Linked DNA regions of Caenorhabditis elegans. The protein of the gene in region 3 interacts with the protein of the main gene of each other region in a pairwise test. Each region holds a gene or a part of one and is shown on either strand. Other genes may lie near its edges.

Region 1 (3,514 bases), on a different chromosome or scaffold from region 3:
GCCTGTTCAAATCCCATATCACCGTCAACATCATCATCATCCAGCTGTGCATCGTTATACACCTGGTTAATAACTTCACTAACTTTTTAATGCACCTATTTTGTTGAAAGTTTGAATGTTAGCCTCATGCATCCTTTGAAGCTAAAATAATATTTCTGAATAATTCCGTTTCAGGACCAATGAATGAGCAAATTGGACGACTCTTTGAGAAAGCAGTTGCTGATGCTGCCGATCAAAAGACACAACAACAAATTCAACAAGTTCAACAACAAATGGTCGGCTCAAGGCCATAAATTTCATTCCATTTGAAATCATTTCTAAATTCGCTCAAAATCCACTTTTTCTAGCCAAAGATTGCAAGTCAAGCAATCTGCCAGTACGTACACATTGTACACATTTTCCTGTTTTTTTTCTCTTGAAACAATGACCAAATAAATATATCTTTGAAATATTGAAAATTATTTTTAAAAAAGGCTTAAAGATAAACATCTTCAAAATTTTTTAAAAATATGTTTACTGTTGAAAAATGAACCCAGAAAACCGAATTTTATCATTAAGTTTTGTTCTTATACTTAAAAACGAAAAATAAACAAGTAAAATATTTCAAAAGTAGTGTAAAAGATGTATATTTAGCGAAATTTAGACATCTTCTCAAAATTTTTTACTGTCATAAATAATTTTTTGCGCAATTTCTAAAAGTTTAGCTCATTCAAGTAAAAGAGAATTCAGTTGCTCAACATTCAAGTTGTCATATACAATTTTTATCGACATAGAATATTTTTCATTTTGTTCGAAACAGAAGTAGATTGGTTTTGAATTTAGAAGTTTAATTTCAATCGTGACATCAAGACGATTTTTGTCGTATTCGCAAAATTTTAAAAGCTAGTTTATTGATTAATAAAACAACAGATAACTGAAACAATTAATGTAAAAGTTTTGCAAAGTCTTGGCAATGAAGTCCCATAATAAGAGAACTTCCACCATCAACTACAAGTTGATGTCCAATGATGTATGATGATGTCTTCCTATCGGCCAAAAAAGCAATGACTTCAGCAATATCCTGTGGTTGTCCCATTACTCCTGCTGGGACACATTCCTTCATCGTAGCCATGGTCGAATAGAATTTCTTTGATGTTTCTTCTGGCATTCCCATTGCTGAACCAAATCCAGTTGCAACGAGTCCTGGACTAATTGAGTTAACACGAATCCCGTGTTGAATAAGATCAATTGCTGTATTACGAGTATATTGATCAATGGCTGCTTTTGCAATTGAGTAATATGGGAAGTCTGGTGTCTTAAAAAGGCATCAATGAAACTTTTAATGTTATAATTTTAAAACTTACAGCATGAAGTCCAGAAGCAATGCTAGAAATATTGACAATTTCTCCCTTGGTAGAAGACAAATGTGGAACAGCCTTCTTTGTCAGTGCAATCACACTTCTCAAATTAAGATTCAAAGTAGCATCGTAGCTTTCAATACTTTGAGCAGTTCCAGTTTTACTTTGGGAGTCTGGGATCGCGGCACCAGCATTGTTAACCTAAAGTTCACAATTGAATTAAATTATTGGGGAAAAAAACATTGACTAAATTTACACACCAAAATGTCAAGTTTTCCGAATTTTCCCAAAGTTGTGCTGAGAATCTCATCTTGACCAGCATCAGTAGTAACATCAGCAACAACTGAATTCACATTTTGCTCGGAAACTCCAGCTGCCAAAATCTGTTGTCTAGTTTCTTCAAGTCTTTCTGCATGACGTCCTGTGATAGTTACTTTGGCTCCTTCTCGTGCAAAGAGAACAGCAGTTGCTCGACCAATTCCATTGGAAGAACCTAAAAACCATCAATATTTAAATGTATTTTATATTATTAAAATTATAAGTCTTACCAGTGATAATAGCGACTTTTTCAGCAAAACGAGTCATTTGCTCAGAGTTTGAAATTGTTAACTTTTTTCAATGATTCTTTCACCAATATTTATACTCCGTTGTGTCAACGAAATACACAAAGACGAGACGCAGACGACACCGAGACACAAAATTTGTGACACAAAATGAACTTGGAGAAATATTTGAGGACAAGAAAAGTATCAAAAGCACATTTGAAGTCTCAAAAATTAAAATCTTTTCAGTTTTGTCATCAGTTTATGTTTAAAAAAATGGAACTTGAAACTTTAAAAATTCTATCTTGAAGTTATTTTTTTTTAACTGGCAAGATCACTTTTTAATTTTCCGACACTACTTGAATAACCCCATAAGAAGGATAATATTTTATTGGCCGACGACATTTCTCTGTGGTAAGTTGACTAACAAGATATGGTGAATCAAAACAACTGTGATACAACATTTAATGAAGATATATCTGCATACATCTACAACAGAAAAGTAATTTCAACTAGCCACTTGTTATTCACTGTACTGCTAGCAACTTTGCAGTTGGCATCTATTTTTATTTTATTTCTTACATCTAAATAGGTGCCCAAACAATAGTATTGCATGCCTTAGTAATAGAGAAAATACGGTATATGAATCTACTTTTCAGGGGACCTAAAAAGTCCCGAGTTAAGCATCCTAATTTCTTTTTACTTGCAAGCATGCGGCAATCTTTTTCAGGCTTCTGGCCTATTTCGCTAACTTTTTAGTATTAACAGAGATTCATCAAGGTTTTTCATTTAGAACTGAATTTCTTATAACTCTTTTCGGCTTTCTAAAAAAATAATTTAGCACAATTTGTGTGGTTGCAAAAGTCTTGAAAATATTAAATTACCAAATTAGAACAAATTCTGAAGAACAACGGTAGTTTTACATGACTATTTTAGTAACGAAAATAATTGTAGGCAATTACAAATCGCTTGTCATCTGATCGTGTTTCAATAATTCAAAAAAAAAGCCACTTGCGAAAATTAAACAGGATTCTATTGGCATGCTGTAAGTTATTGGAAATCCAACAAAATACAATTTTTTACAATAATTTCCGCCGTAGAACATGAACACTGCCGTTCTTCTCCTTTTCCTTTCAAGAGGAACTTATCAATGCTTGTATACCAACGCAACAAGTTGAAAGTAATCGTACCCCATGAACTCCAATATTTCACGACTTTCAGCCACGACCACCACAACTACGATGGAACCTGTCACTACTACTTGTAACTTTTTAAAATCTTATCGAGAGGAGGCTTTTAAAGTTCAAACTAATTCGCAAGATATCAAGATAACAACATTTCTACTCCTGTTTCAACTTGTTTTGACTGCAAACAAAATCTTATAGTTAGTTTCTCGAAAGAAAATCCTTCAATTCTTCTGAATTTCCAGTTCCATGTCCAACTGGATGAAAACAATTCGAGAGGCCTAGTGGAACATGGTGTATCCAGGTGAGACAAGTTTATAGTCATTTCGCGTTTGGATGTTTGTAGTCTGTGACGTCATCCCTATTATAAACTCTAACTTTCCAAATGTTTGGCCAGTATAGTGCTAATAATTAGTATATGCGGGGATGTAAATATGAGGACTGTAGTGGA
Region 2 (3,695 bases), 3.0 Mb from region 3:
AATCGACACCAGCGCTACAGTAGTCATTTGAAGCATTACTGTAGTTTTCGCTACGAGATATTTTGCGCGTCAAATATGTTGCGCAATACGCATTCTCAGAATTTCGTGTTCCTGTAATATGTACGAGAAAACTAGTTTTTAAAACTAATTTATAAAAATACCCACTATTCAAAATGCACTGCCCGTTGACGCATTTTCCATGTTTTCCACAATCGGAGACTATGCTTCGAGCTGAACCTTCAGCTACCAATACGTGTCTGAAAATTGTGTTTTATTTGCTCTGACAAGTTGTTATCATTCCTTATTCAGAAATTAACTGTACCGATTGCATTTCACTGAAGTGATTGGATAACATTTTCCTTCAGAACAAACGAATCCCTCTCGACATTCTACCTAAACTAAACGTTTTGAAAATATTCATCAAAACTTGAAAACCTCGAATGAACAGAATGTAGATGGGGATTTGTTCCTACCAAAGCATTGCTTCTCTTCACAAGTAAATCCAACTGGGCACTCATACTCACCGAAAACAGGCGGACATCTGAATAGACGAAATTGTATTTCTCACTATTGCTCATGATTCGTTCACCTTTCTGCCGCAATGTGCAAAATAAAAGAACAGAATAAAAACAGTCGTCCTATGCGAATCATTGTACGAAACTAATCAATATGCCGAATAAGAATTGGTGACCTATTTTCATCAGAGATATCTCACTGATAAGATTTGAGAAGCTGATATGATGAGTCATTGTTATGAAATAAACATTCAATTTACCGGTAAACGGTTTTATTGAGAGGTTTTCTCATTACAAGCTGAGGCAATGTGGCATTGAAGAACAAGAGGGATAGGGACTTACAATAGCATGCATAAATTGGGAATATGATAAAGTGTACTATGTATATGTACAAAGGTACAAATTTGAGAAATAAGCATTAATGGATCTTAAATCTGAGCATCGATTGGCTGGGCTCCTAGGCCGGCTTCTCCAAGTGCAGAGTCGCAACGGTCAACCTTGGAAAGTCCAGCTTCCTCTGTGATGATCTTGGAACAAGATTTGGAGTCTGGAGAAGCAACGTCAGAAGCAGATTCGGAAGATTCAGTGACAGCCGATGAATCAGCGGCATCACCAGCTCCTTTCTGTTGGGCCTTCGACTTGCGATTTCTGTTCTTGCGTTGCTTTCTTGGCTTTTTCTTCTCAGCATCCGCCGACATCTCCTGTGGCTTGGCATCGGTCGACTGGGATTCCTCTCCATCGACAGAAGCTCTGGGCTTGCGGTTCTTGCGGAAGCGAGAGAGAAGCTTGTGGCGGTATCTGTAAAATAGGATTTAAAAACTTCCATGGTCAATATAAACCCTCACCTCGATCCAATGACATTGTCTCCGTTGGGTCCTGTTACGTTAGCAGCTTCTGGGCCATTCTTTCCCTCGACGAGATCGAAGAGAACCTCTTCATCGTCCCCGAGGGTACGGAGGTAGAACTTTTCAGTGGCTGACTTGGCAATGGCTGTCTGGTGAACAAAGATGTCCTTTTCGCCATCGTTGCGAGAAATGAAGCCATAGCGACGGAGAACAGAATACCATTTCACTTTTCCTTGAAGTCCGGTGGTAATGGCTGTCTTCGACTTCTGCTCTTCTTCCCACAGACGGATGCGCTCAGCAGTCGGCAGACGCTAAATTAAGTAATTACTAAATTAATTTAAATGTGTAACATACTCTTTTACGCATCTTCTCTTCGCTGTTGCTTGGCGTTGTCTTATCTTGAACAGAGAGCTCTTCGAGCTTCTGCTCGAGAGCTTCCTCTCCGATTTCGACAGCGGCGTTTGCGGTGTCCGACATAGTCGTAAATTTGGTTGAAGCAAGTGAGGTTGACTGTAAGAGGGTAACTTTTAATAAGTCATTAAACAAAAATTGGGTAAAGATTAAAAAGAATATTTAACAGAAGCTATGTGCTCATGCTCAAAAACGTAACCAAAACTAAAGTCGAAAATCAGCAGCAAAAAAATTTAGAAATGAGAAAAACAGCTCACGGCGCGTGAACTTCAAGCTGCAAAATCGAAATGAATGTTTTGGGCCGCGCATCTGCGAAGCTAATGGGTCCCGTACTACAGTAACCCGGTAACCTGCACATCTAACTTCGCGCGGTGTTTCAAACGCAATGCATGGTTAGGAAATTCCTAAACAATTTTTGGATTCTTTTCGTCAAATTTGTATCAGATTGTTTTGCAATATGCTATTTTACTATTTTCTATCATTTTGTCATCACTGTCTTGAATTTTTAAACGATTGTTTAACTGATTGATATGGATAGTATTGTTGGTATTAAATAGTTTATAATAATCACTGAAATTCTAAAATATTTCATTATTTAACATTCCCTCGTAAAGCGTATTATGATTTTTTGAAAGTTACGGAATTGAGATAGAAAAAATGGAATTAAGTTCTAAAGTTTAGATTTTCTCAATTGTTTTCCAGTTGTTTCCTATTGTGACACTCCTTAACTTTCCAATTTAAGGGAAATGTCTCTTTTTTATACATTAAGAGATTACTTTAAGAATATAAAAACGCTTTAGGCCCCGTGTGACAATCTAAATGTGTTTAATCCTGCCTCCAATTAGTACAACGAGTGTTCATTATAAATGTTCAAACGAATTCGGAATTTCTATTTCCAATTTTGTTTTTTTAATGGTGACTTTAGTTAATGTTCTCCGTGATGTTGTTCATGCTTTCTAAAAACTAATGTACTCTGCCCTTTCCAGAAATTGACGTCATAATACTCGCACAGTACTCTCAAAAAATTGATTTTCAAATCGTCCATTCTCTCCAACTTCATTTTCTATCCTCCACGTCTTTTCTGTGCATCCTCATTTTATATTGTGTTATTTTCATGTCTCTGATCGACCTGCGCCATTGATATTCTTTCTCAAACGGCCTCTCTTTACATCTCTGGGTCTCTTGCCTCTGGGCGTGAGGTTCCCGTTTTTTCTGCCGATTTTCTTCTCTTTCCGCTGTTCCATTCTACTCAAAATGGCACTGGAAGAAATAATGGATTTCGAGGGTTAGTTAATGCTTAATAATGAAGATAAATCTGAAATTGCCAAATTATAGAAGAAGAGGCTGGATGGAAGCACTTGCCACGAGAAATACGCAGAAATATTCTCACTCGACTACCATTCCCAGTAAGTGTTGCGAAATCATTTTGCTCAAATTTCCATCAAATCAGTTAGATAAAGAAAAAATCCGTTTGCAGGATAAACAAAACATGATGTTGGTCAGCTGGGAAAACTCTCAGATATGCTCAACTCTTCCAAATAAGCTTCACGAACTCGGAATTACGGAGCTTCCCTCTACAGCTGTTAGTTTTAATTGAATTACTTTGTTTATTCAACCCAGTTATTTTCAGAAAACTATTCTGATAATGAAATGGAAAAATGAGATTGGAAGAGTTGTGAGCAGAATGGTGGAGTTTCGAGGAACCTCACTGTGAGTATTCTTTGTTCAAAACTTCAAATTAAAAGAGAAAATTCAAAGTCTTAATAAATGTTCAGACGTCAAACTGAATGCCCCGATCATACTGCAGAAGCTATGCGAGCGTTTTTACGTATTTGGAGATTCTCAAAAATTAAGAGTATTGTCATCGAAATTGTAAGTTGTGGTAGAGATAGATTGGTTTAAACCATGGCTTATCAGCTGTAGT
Region 3 (3,894 bases):
CTTTTGCGGTGAGACCCATTCAAATAAATCCGTGCGCCTTTAATGTTTCGCAACTTTGAAAATGCACGTTTCCAAATGGTTTTCATTATTACCTAGCTCAATCCGATTTGATTGAAAACTGAAGAAAATCGAAAATGAATCTTATCATTAATTTCGATTCACTCGCGTCAAAGAATCTGATTTCAAAAAAATTATTGAATTGTAATCATTTATTTCTTTGAGTTTGTTATTTCTCAATGTATTTCTAAATGTGAATTGAAAGTTTTGTGAGCCGTTCATCCATTTTGAACGAAAAATTCGCTATATTCAATCTGAAACACTGAAACAACAACGTCCGTATCAAGAATTAACAATATGAAGTTTGATAGGTAAGTTAGTTTTCTTTCTTTAGTTACTTCTTTAGTTACGTTTTCTTTAGTTACTTTTCTATTGTATTTTATTTCCTGCTTAAATTAAAGAGGCATGAGTCTCGCGCATGGGTCTCACCACGCTAGCAACTTTTTTAAAAATAATGTCAGAAATTATCATTTAATTTGAATATCAAGATTCAATTACAATAACTGGTTGTCCGCGTGGCGAGACCCAAGACCGTAAGATATGGCGTATTTTCTCAACTTCTACGTAATATGAAATATTCTTTCAGAATTTCCATCGAAACAAGCGTCTTCACAGTGTTTTGTATACAAGCCACGATCTGCATAATTTGTTTCATCATATTTGTTGTTGGAAGAATTAAATTACAACGAATGAAAATGAAGAAATAATTTATTTTTAAATTCATACTAACGATTTGAGAGATCATACATAACAAAATCGAAGATTTGGTAGGAGCAAAATTAGAGTGAACAAGGTCATTTACAAAATAGGAAGACACAAAAAGTAACAGATAATAAAAATATTTAGTTGGAGTCATTGAAAATGAAATTAAATCTCGAAAGAGTGGTTGGAAGAGAGGAAATCAGTGGTCCATAGGCGGCTGCGTTGTCATAAAGTTCAAAGAGTGGAGCTGCGACGAGTTTGAAGTTTTTGGGAACGCAGAATGTTGCTGAAATGTACAAAACATTAAACTGCTTAGGTTTCAATTAGGGAAAAAATTCGAAGACACTTTAAATTTTGATCTTATCAATTTTTCAGTCTCTTACATTTTGAGGGCAACTGAACAAGCAACAGCTTGGTGTGCTCCTTGGGTTTTGTCACGTGCGCAGGGATGTACGGGTAACGGGGAGGATCAAAGTTTGGTCGCCACCAGTTGCCTATCTCATCCTCGATTGTCCATTCGTTTGTCTCCCCATCGGTTCTTCCGAGTGTCTCGTTTAGAAGACGTGTGACTCCAGATATCTCATCCTCACCAAGTTCCAATTCTCCACCCGGCCTGCAATTTTTTTATGAAACTTTCAGATTTTAATAGGAATTAATCTCACAATTTATAAAAGGTGGTACCAATCTGCAGGAGTAGGATATGTGGAAGTGAGTGCTCATGAACAATAAGCACCGCTTCAACTGATCTACGCATTCCCATCTAAAAAAATAATTGATATCGGTTGGAGACAATTAGAGAACACCTACCACTTCATATTCGTCTTTCATTCGTTTGAACCTTTCTGGAACTGATTTGTCTTTTTCTGCTTGTGCATCTTTAGTACCAAATGTGTAATTAGTCAACGGATACACGTTGATTGTTCGATTGAACGGAGGTTTTTCATCAAAGTTCGCTGGAGCCTCGGGCACAGATGCTGAAATTGTTGTTCTTTCGATTGTTGGCCAGATGTCTTCCATTTTAACTGAAATTATATTTAAATTTTGAACCAATTTAGAGTACACAATTAAATATTGACGAAGAGCAAATTAAAAAAAATGAATTGAAAACTGGAAAAAATTGTTTGAAAACAAAATTACAAAAAAAATGTACAGATGGCCTAGAAACAGTTTGTCCATGGGGCGCGGTTGCAACGTGTGAAAACTAGTCCGTCTGAATCAAATTTATAAAATTTTCACGCCTTTATCGTAAAAATCTAAAAAACAACAATATTTTGTTCATTTCTATAATTTTTGACCGTCTAAAACGAACATCTCAATGAGAAACTAGTTAAGACGCAGACGTCAAAGAACGCTCGCCTATCAACTACTAGCCAGTCACATTTTAAGTGTAAACAATCGGTAAGGAAGATAAAGAGACGCCAGAGAAAAATCACACATCACTTTTTTCATTACTCTTCACCTTGAAATTCTTTGCTCCCAGTATGATACTCTAGACATTCTTTGAAATTTCGTTTTTGAATCGTTTTGTTATGTTAATTATGTGAATTTATATCCAATAACACATGATGATCTTGCAGATAAATCGTTGACTTTGTATCATTCCAACTAGAAAAACCAGCAAAGACTCGTGATTTTTTTGCAATTTTCATGCCGCACGACTCAAATGAGGTAAGATTTTAAATAAATTTTGGAACATCTCTGTCATAAAATCATATTTTCAGGGAAAACAGAGGCCCAGTGTCGTTTTGTCACTATCCGCAGGCGCGATCGCCGGAGCTTTAGCCAAAACTACAATCGCACCTTTGGATCGAACTAAAATTTATTTTCAAGGTAAGAATTATGTCACTTCGAAACAATCGAAAATACACCTAATTTTTTGTATGTTCCAGTTTCAAGTACACGTGGTTACTCATTCCGATCTGCCATTAAATTCATAAAACTAACATATCGGGAAAATGGATTCTTTGCATTGTATCGTGGAAATTCTGCGACGATGGCTCGTGTTGTGCCATACGCGTCGATGCAATTCGCAGCCTTCGAGCAGTATAAAAAATTGCTGAAAGTTGACGAAAATGGGTGAGTTTTAAAGTTTTTTTCACACCGAGGTGGCAAATTTAACTTCAAAATGTTAATTTCCAGAAGTCGAACACCCGTGAAACGATATATAACAGGTTCTCTTGCCGCCACAACAGCTACAATGATCACTTATCCTTTAGACACCGCAAAAGCTCGTCTTTCAGTCTCTTCAAAATTACAATATAGTTCTTTGAAACATGTTTTTGTAAAAACATATAAAGAAGGTGGTATTCAACTATTGTACAGAGGGATTTATCCAACTATACTAGGTAGGAATTCTTATGAAAAACATCTTTCTTATCGATTTTTGTTGATTACAGGAGTAATACCATACGCTGGATCTTCCTTCTTCACATACGAAACTCTTAAGATTATGTATCGAGATCATAGAGGTGAAGTTGTGAGTTGAGAAATTATTTCTATACGTTATTATGTATGATAATTCAGGAAAATTCCTACTACCGAATGTTATTTGGAATGTTAGCTGGTTTGATCGGTCAATCATCGTCATATCCACTCGATATTGTGAGAAGGCGGATGCAAACAGGGCGAATTCCGAGTGGATGGAGTCCTCTTAGAGCTCTAATTCATATTTATCATACGGGTATGACTATTTTTTGAATTATAGTTTTTTTTAAACCTTACTATAATGACAATATAGTTCTATCAGAAATGGGCGGTTGCAATTAAACAAAATAACCTGCTTGTTCCAACATTTTTTTAATTGAAATTCAATGTCAAAGTATAGAAAATCACTTGATGTGTCCGAAAATCAAATTAATTCCAGTTGAAAAATTTGAGAAAGTGCTTAAAAATGATCTGAAAGTTGTCAATTACTGATTATCGAGTTATCTAACTTTGTTTTTGGGCAAATATCAACTTTTTGGATAATTTAAGTGATTTTCTATACTACGATTTTCTAAAAAAAATATATGGGGTGAACATGGCGCAATATTTATGATTTTTCAATAATTGCCGCCGTCCACCTCTAAAACAAGATTTTGGAATTTCTAAAGTAATTTTTTATAGCTACACATAAAACTCCGAACAATTCACAAT
Region 4 (6,522 bases), on a different chromosome or scaffold from region 3:
TACAATAGTAGAAATGGAGGATCTGTTCCACCCAGCGAACTTCAAATGCATACTTGGTACGCGGTAGAAATAGAAAAATTAGTACTATTTGGCCGAAATTATAGAACTTTTGTCTAATATTTTCAATAATACATTCAAACTTGTAAGTTTGGTTAACCTGAAGTATTTTTTTTATTTTCAGGATGGACTGTTCTCTGCGTGAATTGACCAGTCTAATCAAAGAAGTGAATCCGGACGCTAGAAGAAAGGGCACCACATTCGATTTCGCTATTGTGCAGGCAGACCGCGGCTCGCCAAGATACATTCTACGCGATGTGGGAAACACGACGAATGGAGAGCGTGGCATTGATGACAACAAAACTGTATGTGATTTTTGACACCACGGAACCATTAGAATTTTATTTGAATTCGGAAATAATATCTCCAATATTAAATTCGTTTTGATTGAACTTTGTTTTTCAGCTACAACAATGCAAATTCGAAGTCGGTGATTTCGTCGACGTCGCGATTTCCTTGCCAAGTCAAGGACGTCGTTTCAATAACCGGGAGCAGGGAGACCGTTTCGATCATCGTCAACGCCAACGTAGTCCGATTCGCTAGACGCCTAACTGTGTGTTAAAATTCAATGATACTCTTCTGTATTTATTAATGTGTCGATTCTTTTTTTTATAACGTGCAATGTAATATTCTGCGTAAATCATGTTTTCCTTTACAATTGTTCAACATACTTAACAATTTACAACAAAGTTTACTTTCACATTTACTGGTCAAAATTGCAAGCTATTTAATTTTAAAAAAGTTTTGTTTTGTGATTATGCAAAAATCGGAAAAATGATCGCGATCAAACTGCTTTCAGCGAAAACTAAAATTTCTTCTCGAATAATTTATTGCTTAATAAATGATAATGGACGGGGGGTAGAGCAAGTAAGATTATTGAAAATCGAAATTTCCAAAAACGTTCTAATTGGAAGTTTCTTTCGCCTTCGAAAACTCCTAATAAGAAAGTTGGAGGAAATTCGCACAGAAAAAAAGGCAGGTAAAACAGGAGTATCTACTATTCAAACTATGTGTCAATGTACTCTACTCTAGATTAAATTACAAAAGGATTCTTAGTTGAAATTATAAAAACATAAAGGGGAATACGATACAATTATGGGGAAAAATGTAATAAAGAATGTTCAGAAAAACAAAAGCATGGGAATTTAAGTACTTGTATAGAGAGTAGGTATAGGGTAGTGGATAAAAAATGTTGGTAATATGTAAAGGGGGTGAATACGTGACAATAAAAGAGAGAATCTCGGGATTACGCCCAGAAGTTTCGCTTCGGAATGGTCATTCCGTTCATTGCAACGGACATCTCATCAACAATGGCTGCCGCCAGTTCTTCTCGCATGTCTTCGTTGATGAGTTCCGAATGGTCTTTGATGATGCGGTTCTCAACTGCTTGCAAATTCACGTAACGCCTGGAAACATTTGTTTTTGATAAAGATTTTTAGGAAAATAAACTATTACTGATGAATTTTGTAATTGTTGCGTCCTCGTTTAGCCAGATTTTCTGCCGCATAAAGAACATCTGGAACCGATGGTGGCTGGTAGGACACTTGATGACCGAATGCGCGGAAGTACGTCAAGTGCATGAGCTCGTTTTTAGACCATTTGGCATCATTGACAAGGATCGTGTACTTGCACGGACGAACGGTACCCTAAAAGAAACTTTCATTTAATAAATTAACTAATGAACAACTTACAATAAGCGGCGTCTGTGAAGACAAAATGAACTCGTCGTATCCGTAGGATGTCAGGACATTCTCGACACATGTTCCAGATGGGATGTTCTGATCCGTCGCTCTGTTGCCACTGATACATGATGGAAAAACGCGAGCATGTGAAGCTCTTTGTGCGATGATCACCACGAGATGTGGACGGTATCCGGGCTGAATCTTGTCAAATGTTCGTCGCATCTCTTCGACTTCTTCCTTAACACGATTGAAGTTTCCTTCTCCAGCACCAACACGATAGATGACGATTCTTGTTGGGAGTGTCTTCGAATGCTCCTTGTACGATCTGACACACTTTGGGAAGAATTCATCAAGTTTTTGAAGTTTGTACTCCTTTTGGGTTTGAAGGTATGTGAAGCCTCCGAGCTGCGTCGAGTTGGTCAGGGAATACGAGACTCCAACAACTGATGGCTCACCATCCATTTGTGATCTACTGCGATCGAACAAAGTGCGTGATGCGCCATGAGAAATCTCGAATCCGATGAATTGTACATGTTCGAGAAGTTTCTTTCTCAATGTTTCATTGTTTGAGCACACTGCTTTTCCACGCACAGCATTCGGGATCTCGACGAAGAAGTTGGTTCCACCACACTTGAGGTTGAACTTTCTCATGACGTTGTCAATCGTTTGGCGTCCACCTTGACCTCCCATCATTTTATCGACAGTCTGTTGACACAATTGGATTGTTTGCAGGCCAATCGATTCCTCAAAGTATTTGAGTATGTCGTGAACATCCGGCTTCTTCTCCCTTGCTATTCCAACAAGAATGTCCACTCTATCATCGAGCCATTTCTTCATCAGATTTTGGATAGCAACGGAATCACTGGAGTTCAATTCACGGATGGACCAATCTCGCGAGTCCTTTTCGACCGTGATTCCATTGTCACGACAGAAATTGGACAGCTTGTCGCAGAAATCTCTGAAAATAGAATATTATAAAGCAGAAGAAAACAACGTTCGACTTACTCGGCCTGTCTCATTTGGATACAGTTGTCAAAGACAACAATACCAATTTTTCTGATCCGTGCTGGTTCGACAAACTTGTCCTGTGTGCGGAACGCTGGACGGCTCATGTCAGGCATGTAAGTCTGGCCCTTGAACTTGATTTGAGCTGGTGGGAGGAGCTTCGCAGTCATTTGGATTGGCTCAGTCGACATCAGTTTGATTCCGAAAGCATCCATGTACTTATTTTGTTCAAGCTTCAAGTTGTCGCGGAGAATATCTTGAACCAACTTCACATGATGCTGTGGCATAGACGCATTTCTTCCTGTCATCGCCGATTGTACTGTCGGGCTCATCTTGTTGACCTTGATCCGCTGGCCTGGAGCAATTCGAAGCAACTCCATTGGGAAGAAAGATTCATGTTTGAATCTTTTTGAGACGACGAGAGGAAGTCTCGGATATTTCAGCTTGATGTTGTACTGCAACAGGAAATATTCCGCCACGGTGACCTCGCGTTCTCCCTTGTCGTCCTTCATCATGAACGAAGTGCTACAAAACAAATTGTTATCACGCTGATGATAACTATCGAATAACTTACTTCTCAGCATTGTTCTCGGCAATCGAGGATACGCGAATAAGGTTACCCTTCAAGTGAGTGCATTCCACGTCCAATCCTTTGAGTGCTTCTTCAATGCATCGCTTCGTGTTTCCTCTTTCGCCAAAAGCGTGTTCCAACTCAGCAGCATCACTCGGAGAGTAGTCCGCTCCATTTGAAGAACCACTGTCTCGACGGGAATCGTACATGTCGCGACGTCCTCTGCTTTCATCTCGGTACCTGTCGTTGCCACCTCGGTTTCCATAGACACCACGAAAGTCTCTCGAGTCGGAACGGCCGCCACGGTATCCACCACGAGAGTCTCGCGAGTCACTTCTTCCGTATCCGCCTCTTCCACCGCCTCCACCTTTCATTTCGGATAACTTGTTGCTTGAAAACTTGATAACTGATGTATCCTTGTAAAATGGAGAAATCTTCGTATCAACCGTCATGAAAGCTTTGCCACCTCCGTTTTGCGATAGACGAGATACTTTCGCAAAACCTGAGCGGATCTCCGAAATAGCATCAGGTTCCGAGTGTGGCGGAGAAAGACGTGGGAATGTGGCATTACCAAATTGTAAGTAATCCTCATTGTTGAGCTTTTGTGAAGTGACGATTTCGATAATACGAGTCAACTCCATACGATTAGCCTCCTCCTGGGCAACTTCTCCTTGGGTGTACACAAATCCGGCAGGTTTGAGAACAACAAGGTAAGAATCGTCCTTTCTGCGAGACAACTTCGACACGAATTTCCATTCTTCCTTCGGGAAGTCATCGATCGTCAACGTGACTTCTTCTTGATCGTCACCAGTGTAGACTCCCTCCGGAAGATAGAGAGTCGCAGCGCAGTCGTAAGCAAGGAAGTGGTGACTCTTTCCACTGAACTTCACCAGAAGCTTGTCATGTACTGTTCTCATGATGTAGTATTGTGCCAAGCGACGGTTATGGGAATTGACACTGGAAAGTACTGATTTTGAGCGGTTATACAAATTAAATACTTACTCTCCCTTGGCCGCCAAAACTCCAAGGTTGGCATTGATCTGTTTTCCGTTGCTGGAACAGACGATGACGTCAACTTGAAAGCGTTGGATCTTGTGGGGCATATCCTTGATGTCCACTGGAAACATGTTCATCTGAACATTCATCGTGTCCATCGTTGCGAAAGAGTCCCGTCCAATTGGTGTTGTTGACTTCGGAGTAGAGAACATTGGTGCTGAAAAAGACAATTTTGAACTCCTAGGCATAATGTTGATTCTAAACGAACCACTTCTCTTTGACGTCGGTTCGTCCTTGTCCTGATTCATTCGGTTGTCTCGTTTGGGAATCCTGTTGGAAGACGAACTTCCCATAATTTTGTCGAGCAAGTCGGCCATGTTTGACTGAAATAAGAAACGATGAAACGAAAAAACGATGCGAATTTCAGATGTAATTGAGATAAAACAGTGAAATTTACTAAGAAAAAGTAAATGAAACAAAAGCTTTACCGTCCTGATTGAGATTTTCAAGTAAAATGAGAAAAAACGCAAGGAGAGAAATGAAATGAAAATAAATAAATTTTAGGCCAGAAAATTCGAGAAAACACATCCGTGGCGGTACAAAAGTTCAAATCGTGGCGCCACATGCGTTGTAACAATAGAGCGCGCTTGCATTGTGATCTCTTCGAAAAATTTCACGTCTAGAAATCGAATTTTATTAGTTTTCAAAAACTTAACGACTATTCTGAACATTTCAAATAAAATAATAGAAAACAATATTTTTAAAAAATTAATTTGTTATGCTTCAATAAATATTAATTATTTAATTCATTTCTACAATCAAAACGATGCTGGTTTTTCAAGTTTTCTGCTTTTTCGTCTCTTTTCTGGCAAATTCAATAAAATGCGACATAATTCATCTCAAACATATGCCTAAAATTCTGAAGGAAAAGGCGTTGCTCGAAAAGCCGATAATTCCAAACAGGCTGCTCCAGCCATTCCTTAATGAATCAATTGCTCATATTTTGATGAATCCGTTAGCTGAAGTGAAGACGAATGCGACGGAAATTAAGTTTCTAAATTATCTAGAAGATAAAAAGAAATATGAACCCGATTGGACAATTCGAGAACTTGAAGATAAAATTGTGAGCTTAATAAGTCATTTTTCAAGTCTAGAAAAGAGTTTCAGAGCCTATCAGAACTGGTCAAGACTTGTCTAGAACACCACTCGTTTCTAGATCTTCCAGATTTATTTCCTCGTTTTCTGTGTGGTTTGTTAGCAGTGTATAGGGAACAGAACACGACAAGTCTTCCATATACTGGATCAATATTTTCTCGATCATCAAATGCAGTAAAATTTCTAAATGATCCAGAGAATTATCCATGTCATTCTATGAATATGACTGATGTGGTGGCACTGGTGCCAGGAAGAATATACAGTGGATGTGTCAAGGATACGGTATCCTTTTCAACAAAATTCTGAAAATCCAGTTATCTGTTTAGGACCCTGAAAAATTCAGTCAATTCGATTCCGTCTTCATCATGTCTCATCCATTCCCAGATGTTCAAAAGTGTCAACAACCTGTGTCAGTGATGCCAAAATGCGAACTGCGATCGATGCTAGTGCAACACAAGATATTGTATCAGCAAAAAGATTGTTGCTGCGATTCCAACATGTGTGCCGTGCTCATCTTCACTCAGACCTCTTCACTGACTCCGCTTGTTTTAAAGACGATTGATTTGACGAGAGAGACGATGGTCCCGTTTCCAGTGACAACGACAGAGATCTCTTTAAATTCAATGTTTCAATAAAGTCAACAATTTCAATAACGCATAAAATGTAAACTCAACAGCAAAAATTAACAAAAAAGAAGATTCAGAATAAAATGGGATTAAAAAAAAAGAAATTAACTACTTCTTTCGTTCATAGGTCCATTTGTAGACGGCTGCTCGCATAGCTTTCGCCTTTTTGACCTTTTGAGGCTTCAATTCTGATTTGCTTCCAGCTGCCAATTGTTTCTTCAATTCCAGCTTGTCCACGACCACTTGAAGCTCCTTGGCACGTTCCACGCGTTTGATGAGCTCGTTGTATCGAGTACGACGTACACGATCGGCTTTCTGGAATAATTTTTATTAAGATTTTTCATTTGTTTTAGATATTTAAGGGGTACTTACTCTGACTTGTTCTTTTCATTTGTTTTAGATCTTTAAGGGGTACTTACTCTGACTTGTT

The links.
Region 1: the proteins of cfim-1 (region 3) and D1054.8 interact in a two-hybrid assay, tested with the Caenorhabditis elegans proteins (one large-scale study listed by BioGRID).
Region 2: the proteins of cfim-1 (region 3) and cey-2 interact in a two-hybrid assay, tested with the Caenorhabditis elegans proteins (one large-scale study listed by BioGRID).
Region 4: the proteins of cfim-1 (region 3) and hrde-1 interact in a two-hybrid assay, tested with the Caenorhabditis elegans proteins (one large-scale study listed by BioGRID).

The regions. Positions count from the first base shown.
Region 1 is NC_003283.11:10,782,731-10,786,244, reverse strand, and holds D1054.8 (DeHydrogenases, Short chain), read right to left. Parts: upstream 1,935-3,514; 5' UTR 1,923-1,934; coding exon 1,886-1,922; intron 1,831-1,885; coding exon 1,598-1,830; intron 1,539-1,597; coding exon 1,344-1,538; intron 1,295-1,343; coding exon 923-1,294; 3' UTR 878-922; downstream 1-877. Other genes in the region: D1054.9 (Prion-like-(Q/N-rich)-domain-bearing protein), read left to right, coding at 1-65, 175-293.
Region 2 is NC_003279.8:5,617,744-5,621,438, reverse strand, and holds cey-2 (CSD domain-containing protein), read right to left. Parts: upstream 1,871-3,695; 5' UTR 1,838-1,870; coding exon 1,715-1,837; intron 1,672-1,714; coding exon 1,361-1,671; intron 1,314-1,360; coding exon 944-1,313; 3' UTR 771-943; downstream 1-770. Other genes in the region: F46F11.7 (Tenascin), read right to left, coding at 166-257, 323-393, 436-541, 590-651; xrep-4 (F-box domain-containing protein), read left to right, coding at 3,026-3,056, 3,107-3,177, 3,249-3,353, 3,402-3,481, 3,547-3,643.
Region 3 is NC_003279.8:8,613,275-8,617,168, reverse strand, and holds cfim-1 (Cleavage and polyadenylation specificity factor subunit 5), read right to left. Parts: upstream 1,782-3,894; 5' UTR 1,777-1,781; coding exon 1,567-1,776; intron 1,520-1,566; coding exon 1,422-1,519; intron 1,373-1,421; coding exon 1,143-1,372; intron 1,046-1,142; coding exon 900-1,045; 3' UTR 765-899; downstream 1-764. Other genes in the region: F43G9.21 (uncharacterized protein), read left to right, coding at 355-368, 644-764; slc-25A42 (Mitochondrial coenzyme A transporter SLC25A42), read left to right, coding at 2,407-2,427, 2,481-2,589, 2,649-2,835, 2,899-3,104, 3,156-3,235, 3,283-3,439.
Region 4 is NC_003281.10:4,171,466-4,177,987, forward strand, and holds hrde-1 (Argonaute protein hrde-1), read right to left. Parts: upstream 4,695-6,522; 5' UTR 4,689-4,694; coding exon 4,580-4,688; intron 4,529-4,579; coding exon 4,318-4,528; intron 4,273-4,317; coding exon 3,319-4,272; intron 3,270-3,318; coding exon 2,745-3,269; intron 2,698-2,744; coding exon 1,749-2,697; intron 1,704-1,748; coding exon 1,513-1,703; intron 1,464-1,512; coding exon 1,304-1,463; 3' UTR 872-1,303; downstream 1-871. Other genes in the region: C16C10.4 (putative histone deacetylase complex subunit SAP18), read left to right, coding at 1-56, 182-362, 463-600; C16C10.13 (Rab3 GTPase-activating protein catalytic subunit), read left to right, coding at 5,318-5,434, 5,479-5,748, 5,793-6,101; utp-11 (putative U3 small nucleolar RNA-associated protein 11), read right to left, coding at 6,201-6,407, 6,512-6,522. UniProt on the Caenorhabditis elegans protein: Argonaute protein which is involved in the endogenous small interfering RNA (endo-siRNA) pathway and is required for RNA-mediated gene silencing (RNAi) in the germline.